2 linked regions of the Caenorhabditis elegans genome follow. The protein of the gene in region 1 interacts with the protein of each later gene in a pairwise test. Each region holds a gene or a part of one and is shown on either strand. Other genes may lie near its edges.

What was found. Proteins that work in one complex are often made in the same cells at the same time.
Region 2: the proteins of pfd-2 (region 1) and arp-1 interact in a two-hybrid assay, tested with the Caenorhabditis elegans proteins (one large-scale study listed by BioGRID).

The regions. Positions count from the first base shown.
Region 1 is NC_003280.10:4,325,095-4,328,833, reverse strand, and holds pfd-2 (Prefoldin subunit 2), read right to left. Parts: upstream 2,115-3,739; coding exon 1,845-2,114; intron 845-1,844; coding exon 689-844; 3' UTR 550-688; downstream 1-549. Other genes in the region: mog-2 (putative U2 small nuclear ribonucleoprotein A'), read right to left, coding at 2,967-3,498. UniProt on the Caenorhabditis elegans protein: Binds specifically to cytosolic chaperonin (c-CPN) and transfers target proteins to it. Binds to nascent polypeptide chain and promotes folding in an environment in which there are many competing pathways for nonnative proteins.
Region 2 is NC_003280.10:15,118,333-15,123,868, reverse strand, and holds arp-1 (Actin), read right to left. Parts: upstream 3,569-5,536; 5' UTR 3,561-3,568; coding exon 3,468-3,560; intron 3,393-3,467; coding exon 2,953-3,392; intron 2,187-2,952; coding exon 2,012-2,186; intron 1,962-2,011; coding exon 1,824-1,961; intron 1,085-1,823; coding exon 806-1,084; 3' UTR 524-805; downstream 1-523.

The sequences.
Region 1 (3,739 bases):
TCGATATTTTTTTCATTTTTCTAAAAAAATTGAGAAAGTTCGAATTTTTAAAACTTTTTTTGTTGAGTTTTTTGACTAAATTTATTGATTTTTCTTCACTTTTTGCAGTTTTTTATAATTTGAAACATGGTTTCCCATTTTTCCAGACATTTTTTCTCAAAAAACTGTAAAAGTACCCTAAAAATCGATAGTTTAACATTAAATTATACTTTTTATGGGAAAAAATTTGAAAAAAAAAACCATTTTTTAAGTTAGTAATCAATCAAAAAATGACAAACTTGAAAAATAGTTTTTTTTTCAATTTTTTTCGCAAAAAATATGATTGAATGTTAAATTATCGGTTTTAGGCTACTTTTTCAGTTTTTTTCGAAAAAAAATTCTGAAAATGTGAAAACGATGAAAAAATCGATGAATTTTGTTGAATAACGGGGAAAATATCGAAATTTGGAAAAAAAACTTATTAAACCAAAAAATGTTTTTTTTTTCAAAAAAAAAAAGATAAAATTGGATTTCAAAAACCATAATAAAGCAGTTAAAAATCGAAAAAAAATTCAAATTCAATTTATGCAAGACTTAAGTTCTTTTAACGGGAGCATATAGAAAAAAGGCAACAAACAGAGTAAGAAAAAACGTATGAAAACATGAAAAAGCAGTAGGAAATCGAGAAAAAAATTAAAGCAGGGGAAATTTAAGCTTTTGGCAATTGTCCAAGAGCTTCAGCTTTTCTCAGCTCGGCAGATTCTTTCTCAGTGAGCAGACGAATGTTGTGTGTAGTTTTGTGAGTGTTCAGCTCTTTTCCCTTTTCGACGAGCTGATCGTTGAGCTGCTTCGAGACGATTGTCAACTGCAAAATTTTATTATTTTCGGTAATTCTGGTCAGTTGCACCATGTTTTTCTGCTGAAAATTTGTGACAAAATATAGAAAATCACTCGATTTCTCTTTAAATTACACTATTTTCAATCGAAATATCCAAGATAGAGCTCAAAAATTGCCTGAAAGTTGAACAAAATTCAACTTTCAGACCATTTTTGACCGTTTTCTCAAATATTTTCGTTGAAATTACTGTTATTTTAAGATTAAACCGTTAATTTTCCATGTTTTGACACTGATTTTCAATGAATTTTCGCATTAAAAATGGCAAAATGGCTGTGAAATCATGGTCTTGTGTCGATTTACGCAGCTCGTGTACTCCACGAGGAGAAGTCTGTTTTTTTTTTCAATTTTTTGTATTTAACCATATTAAAATCGTATTTTTACAGTATTTCCCAGCGCAAATTGGGGGTTTCGCTATAAAAAAAACGGAAAATCTGGTTTTTTTTTTCAATTTTTAGGTGTAAAAACGCGAAATTTTGCGCTAAAACTACGATGTCTGATCTCGACACGACATTTGTTTCGAATACATGACGCTGCGCACCTTTAAAGAGTACCCGAATTTGCAAAGTTTCCATCGATTTGTTTATATTTTTTCATTCGATTTGTTAAAATTGAAGTGTTTTATCGAAAAACTACGGAAAATCAATATAAATTCCACAAATTTCAAATTACAGTACTCCTTGAAGGCGCATAGCTTCCAGATACCGTATTTTTGGTGCAACAAATCGGAAAATTCAGTGTTTCAGATGAAAAAATATTTTTTTTTGCTTCAAAAAACTGTCAATTTTCATCGGAAATACTGTAAATCCCCAATTTAAAACGCGTTAAATATAGAAAAAAGGTCGAAAATCAGGTATTTCAGCCGGAATCTGTAAAATCTTCTCCACGAGGAGTACACAAACTCCGTAAATCGACACATGACTGTTTCCTCCGCCTTTTCTTCTATTTTTCCCGACTTTCAAATCCTCACATTAGCGATATTATTCTGCAAATCCGGAATAACATCCTTGACAGTATACTCGACAAGTGTATCACTAATCAAACGGAAGCATTTCTGATCCGGTTCAAGATCCTTGATCACTTCGAGAACACGTCCAAATTCACGTCGTTCCTCTTCGATTCGAGTCACTTCGGCGGCGATATCCTGTTGTTGATCACGTAGAGCCTTGAACTTTTCGACGACTTTTCGTTGCTCTTCTTGCTCGGCTGGAGTGGCGGCGGCGGTTTGAGCGGCCGACATCTGGAAGTTGTGGATTTTTTGAAAATAATTGTTTTAATGGTAGAGAGCCAGTTTTTTTTTGGTTTTTTTTGCCAAAACTGACCAAAAAAAATTTTTATAATTGAAAAAAAAAGATTTTTCAAAATATTTTGCAAAAAAACTAGTGAAAGCCGATTTATTTTTGAATTTCTCACCGATTTTCTACATTTTTGTATTTTCCGGCTTTTTTTATCGGTTTTTCATTGTCACATTTTCAGTCATTTTTCAGCAAAAAAAGTTGAAAACTCTAAAATTAGCCAAAAATCGATAGTTTTTGTGAAAAAAAAAGTCTAAAATTATCGATTTTTAGGGTAATTTTAGAGTTTTAACGCATTTTTTTAAGGGTTTTGAAGTTTTTTTTTTGCGGAAAAATGACAAAAAAACACAAAAAATGGATTATTTTAGGCGAGAATTCAAAAAAAAATCCGCGTTTTTTCCAATTTTTAAACCTTTTTTTTCCAAATAGATATTTGAAGGCGCTGGGAAGTTCCCAGTGGGAACCTCTCAAAATTAATAAAATAATAAAAAATAGCCGGAAAACACAAAAATGGCTGAAAAAGGATTTTTTTCTAACTTTTTGTTGCAAAAATTTCAAAAAATCAAATATAAAAAGGCACGGGGAACCTTTGAAAAATCGATAAAAATATCAAAAATAATAGGGGAAATATTGTTTTATGGTATATAAAAATTACAAAAAAAGGGAAGACAGACTGGGAAAAAATTGGAAAAAAATGAGAATATAAATAAAACAAGGAGTATCATTTTAACATTAAAAAAATCAAATAAAATAAATAAATAAATTTTAGCAGCACATTCTGCAATTTTCAAGATTTTTCAAGACTCCATCGCTTCCCCATCGGCACCATTCTGATCCATCTGACGATTCCATCCCTTTTCCGGAACCTTTCCCGATGCCAGAATCGACTGAAGATAGTTGACTTCACTGAGTGACTTGGCATTCTTGATCGCTTCCTTGATCTTCTCCCGATCTTCATCAGTAAGCCGAGCACCTCCACCCGAACTATTCTCATTTGGTTCAATTTCTGATGGATCTTCTGTATGAACACTCTTCTGAATCGCATCTCTCGCCTTCTTTCCACTTTTTCCTTTGAACATCTTCTTCGCAGCTTCACGTTCTGTCAGTCTGACTCGATTGAAGTCAATCACTCGAACCGTCGGCAGCTTGTAGATCATATACATCCGATAATTGTCCTTGTGAGTTATCGGATTTCCGATAAATGTCACGTACTCGAGCTTCTTGCATTCTGCCAGTGGCTCAATGTCTCCGAGCTCGCAAATGTTGTTGTTGGTCAGTGCAAGAGTTTTGAGATTTGGAAGTTTTGTGGCAATGTCGGGTGCGATATAGCTGAAAATATGGGGTAAATTGGTGGGAATGGAGCTCGAAAATGTGGGAAAAAAGCAGTTTTGCAATGAAAAATGGAGGGTTTTTAATTTTTTTTCAGGAAATAGTAACCATAAAATTTAAATTTTTGAAGAATAAATTAGAGAAAGTATTTTAAAAATTTGAAAATGACCAAAATTTTAGGATATTTTCTGAAAAATCGATTTTTTCCCCTACTTTCCGAAAAAAACTTCGATTTTTCGAA
Region 2 (5,536 bases), about 11 Mb from region 1:
CAAATCGGCAAATTGGCAAAATTCCAGAATTGAAATTACCGGCAAATTGGCAGAATTGAAATTTCCGGCAAATCGGCAAACTTCCAGAATTGAACTTTCCGGCAAATCGGCGAATTTCCGGAATTGAAATTTTCCGGCAAATCGGCAAATTTGCAGAATTGAAATTTCCGGCAAATCGGCAAATTTGCAGAATTGAAATTTTCCGGCAAATCGGCAAATTTGCAGAATTGAAATTTCCGGCAAATCGGCAAACTTCCAGAATTGAAATTTTCGGCAAATCGACAAATTTCCAGAATTGAAAATTTCCGGCAAATTTGCGGAACTGAAACTTCCGGCAAATCGGCAAATTTCCGGCAAATTTTCCGGAATTGAAATTTCCGGCAAATCGGCAATTCGGAAAATTTCCGTAAAGTTTTTTTTAAAAATATTTTCCTCATGTCTTAAAATTGCACAGTTTCCGCCTGACGCAGCGGCTCCATTGAGCTGCCGGGAACCTGTAATAAATTGCATTGAAGAATTCCATAAAAATCGAATCGTTTAGATATAAAAAATAATAATTGAAACAGGCATAAAGCAGATAGTGGGACACGGAACTGGGGGAGGAGGGGGTAAATTGAATAATTATGTCCAGAGAATCGGGCTATATAACATTTTTTGAAGAAGGTCGCCTATTTTTGAGAAAATTTTGAAGAATTTTTGAGCCAGCGCCAAATGGAACAAATTAGGGAGAAAAAGGGGGAAAATATGCAAAAAAAACAAATAAATTACGATGAAAAGTGAGCAAAAAAGGGAAAAAATTCAATATTTAGAAGAATCTCTTGTGCATCGCCGACGCTCCCATATCTTCGTACTCCTTCTTTCCGAGCCACATTTTTCGGAAAGTGTCCAAACTGGCGACAATCGAACCGCCGATCCATGTGAGCGAATTTCGTTCCTGCGACGCGGAAATTCGAATTTTTCCGTCAGCGGGCGCGATTTTTCGCATTTCTCCCAGCAAACGATCGCCGAATCCTTTGAACAACGTCGTTCCACCGCTCAGCACGATGTTGCTGTACAGAGTTTGTCGAAGATCCACGTCACATTTCTGGAAATATTTAGTTTGAGCTGATGGGTGTTTTTTTTTTTTAGAAATTCCGCATTTTTTGGCTAAAATTTAACTGAAAATTTATTTAAAAAAATTCCTCTGATATCACAGTGGCTAAATATCATAGAAAAAAAAATTCTAAATTTTATATGATTTTTAAAAATTGAAAAATAGCTTTAAAAAATTTAAACCTCGCGCCAAGTGGTTTTATCGATTTTTTTTTTTAATTTTCTACCGATTTTTCATGTTTTCAGTATTTTTTTACTGGAAATTCGAAGGAAAAGTTAAGAAAAATGCGAAATATCAATTAAAAATCAGCGTTGAAGGCGTAAACCTTCAATGTTGAGTTTTAATCGATAATTCGCATTTTTCTTGACTTTTCTTCAAACTTCCTGTAAAAATACACTGAAAACGTGAAAAATCGGTGGAAAATAAGATAAAAATCGATAAAATCACTTGGCTAGGCTCGTTTTAAAGAAATTTCGCATTTTTTGGGTAAAATTCAACAGAAAATTGATATTTATATGGTAATCTTGTAGAAATTTCGATTTTTGTTCTACTTTAAGAGCTAAAACATTTCCAAAACGAAAAATCAAGTTAAAAAGTCTAAAAGATGAAAAATGTGCACTTAAAATAGCAATATTATGTGCCAATTAATATTTTCCAACGAAATTCCACCAAAAATTAAGCAAAAATGTCTGAAAAAGTGATTTTTCGTCCGAGCAGGCTGTGAGCCTACCATAATTGATTGATTGACAACATGTGCCATTCCAGGCCACTCGGTTCCGATCAAATCCGGCTTGAAGAGCACTTCCGGCGCACGGAACAATGAGTTGGAGATTTCGATTTTCGTGGTGTCTGGCAGAGCGTAGGATGACTGAAAGAATGCGATTTTCAGCTCATTTTCACTGCAAAAAAAATCACTACTTTCACTGAATTATTCTCCACTTTCGTCGGATCCAACGCCAAATAGCACGCGTTCTCCTTCATCTCTCGGACAATTTCGAACTCATTGCTCCTGTGGAACTCGTATCCTTCTCTGCGCAGAAGGACTCGGAGGTATTCGGTGACATCGCGACCCGCCAAATCCATTCGTTGAATTCTGAAAAAAGGAAATTTTAGAATTAAATGCTTTTTTTAAAGGTGGAGTGCGCCCAATGGAGAAATTGCTTTAAAACACGCCTATGTGGTCACAATGACCGAATATCATGATTAAAAAATTCAAAAAAATTTTCCTGATTTTATATGATTTTTTGAAAATTGCAAAAATATCAGTTTTCCCCCCTAATTCCTATTTGAATTTCCGCCAATTGAATTCGTTCGCTGGAGCGCACTTGCATTATTTTTATTAATTTAAATTTTTATTTCATTTTTTCTCATTACTTCACTGATTTTCTTCATTCTTTGTGTATTTTTATCGGAAAAAGAGAGAAAAATTCAAGATAAATTGCAAATTATTTATTTAAAAATCACTGAAAATGGGTGAAACTGTGAACTAAGCTAATTTCAGGTTTGCTATCGCCGGAACTCATAATTTTACAGTTTTACGCATTTTCAGTGATTTTTAAATAAATAATTTGCAATTTATCTTGAATTTTTCTCTCTTATTCCGATAAAAATACACAAAGAATGAAGAAAAACCAGTGAAATAATGAGAAAAAATAAAATGAAATGCAAGTGCGCTCCAGCGAACGAATTCATATGGCGGAAATTCAAACCGGAATTAGGGGAAAACTGGGATTTTCGCAACTTTCAAAAAAAAAAAATCATATAAAATCTAGAAAATTTTTTTGAATTTTTTTATCATGATATTCGGTCATTGTGACCACATAGGCGTGTTTTAAAGCAATTTCCCAGAGTTTACTGACGCATGCTTCATTGCAAATCCCTTAACAATCGGAACAGCATGTGTGACTCCGTCTCCTGAATCCAAAACGACTCCGGTCGTTCTTCCGGTGGCGTACAGCGATAGCACAGCTTGCATTTGAATATATAACGCTGGAACATTGAACGTTTCGAAGAAGATCTCAGCAGATCGCTCGCGGTTCTTCAACGGATTCAATGGGGCGTCGGTGAGCAGAACTGGATGCTCTTCTGGGAAGATTTTCAGCTGATCCTGTCCGAAAATGTACTCCCAAATTTTTTCCATATCGCTCCAGTTATTGACGATTCCGTGTTCCATTGGGTATTCGATTGAGAACAACCCGCGGTTTGATTCGGCCTTTGGTCCGATGAAAATGTCTCCGTCGAGCCCTCCGGCCATTACTCTGTGATATTTCGGTCGTCCGACGAAGTTGGCGAAGCGAACCTGTAAAAAATGAATTAAAAGATGATTTAAAATTCAAAATTCAAAAATCTCAAGTTTTGATTCGTTATTGCCTACCTTTGGCTGCTGTTCTCCGGCGAAACCAGCCTTAATGACTCCGGAGCCATTGTCGATGACCACAGGCTGATTGGCGATGACGTCGTAGTCCATTTTGTAACCTGAAAGATAAAATAACAGTTTTAACCAAAATTTGAGCTTGAAACAATTAAAAAACCCCGGATTAATTGGCATTTTCTGTGGAAACAAAATTAAATGAGAGTTGCGAAATGTACGCAGAGTTGCAGCCGCCGTGTTTGCGGACAATGCATCATTTGCGCGGAGAAATGGGGGTTTTGTACTTTGGAGGACAGAGGCTGAACAAATACATAGCGAGAGTATCGGAAACTATTGATTTTCCAATAGTATAATAAGAATACATGCACCTATACTTCTGGCAAAATATTACAACAGGATTCGATGCGGACCTGAGCAAAAAGAAAGCAATCCTCTTACGCGCGCGCCTTTAAAGAGTACTGTAATTTCAAACTTCCGTTGCTGTGGAATTTTCATGGATTTTTTTGGAAATTTTTCCATAAAAATATTTATTTAAAATGTGTTACAGTTTTTAATCACCAAAACATTGGAAATATTTTGCAATATATAGCTCTAATTAGAGCTCTAAACTGTTAATTTCAAAATTGAAGTTCAAACAACAAAGTGGGCGTGGCCAAACGAGACTCCGAATTCCGATACGCAGTTTGCAGTGGGAATTGATGAATTTCAAGTTTTAAATGAAGTTTTCGAGATTTTGTTCACCGAAAATAGAAGTTTATTAACTACATACAAGACAAATTAGCATTTGAAAACAAAATGGCTTGCTAGAAAAAAAAACCTGAACCAAAAAGTAAGTTGATAAAACCAAAAAACATTTTTCATTCATTTGAATATCCTATCTTGTATTTCTTCGCCGAAAGTTGTCCAAAGTTGGAGAAAGTTGTTGGGGAAAGTTTCTCGAAAGTTTCTCGAACCGTATACAGTAGTCATCACTTTCAGCAGTTTCTGTGTAAATTTTGCGTAGATCACAGTTTATTTATCTCTCAAATCGTATTTCTGTTTTATTGTTATCTACAAATACATTGTGATCTACGTGTGATCTACAAAAACAAACGCCTCTTGCATTGTTTTTTAATCTTGTCGTCTATACTACACACACACACACACGTCTCCCATCCGGAATGATACTTGGCACAGTGCCCGCAGTGTTGTGATCTCTGCGCAACATGGCCCTCTTCCTCCCTCTCTCGGCGTCTCTCACAATAGAGTGCTGTCTGCAGACCGTTGTGGTGCACAGTTTTTTTTTATTGTTTTCTGCTTTCAAATCCTTGTTGCTTTCATATTTTCTGCTCGTTTCTTTTTCCATAATTGAAAACTGTTTATCGAAATAATCTTTTGTAGCTTTGCAAAGTTAAACATGTTTCATTTTTTCTCACAAATTCCGACAGAAATTTCATTTACTTTCAGTGACCACCACGCCAGTACAAGTACCAGCTCGCATGACTAAAGGAAGTTCTGATAAAGACAATGGATACGAAAACATCAGATAATCGTAGTTTGGATCGGAATTGAGTGATGACATGTTTGAGGTATTGCGCATGTGTCTTCTGCCACATTTTAACAATTTTTAATTTAGGAGGACATCTACATGACACATAGAAGTTTGTCAATCTGTTGTCAAGACTCCGACTACAATTGCACCATATGAAAATTTTGGCGAGAGAAATGAAAAACAGACGTACTGGTTAATGGCCGACTGTTGTCGATGTGGTCCGAAGAACTCTATTTATTGAAAGTCCTGAAAGACTAGGGTGAGTTTCAGCTTGTTTAAAAGAATACATATATTTACCGAGGGGAATTTGAAATAATTTTGTTATGTATTTCAGCTCCGGAAACAGTTTTTGCAATCAGAAGATCCCTGGAATTCCTTAGAACACTCGCTCCACATGCAAATTGTCGTCGTTTTGAAGGAGTCATTATTGGAAAACGGGAACACTCGTGGTGGATCTCTTCGAAATTGCATTGCCGCGGTGGGTTTAATGAAAAATATCGGAAGTGCATACTACACTGGGTCATTTTGTAGACTTGTTGGT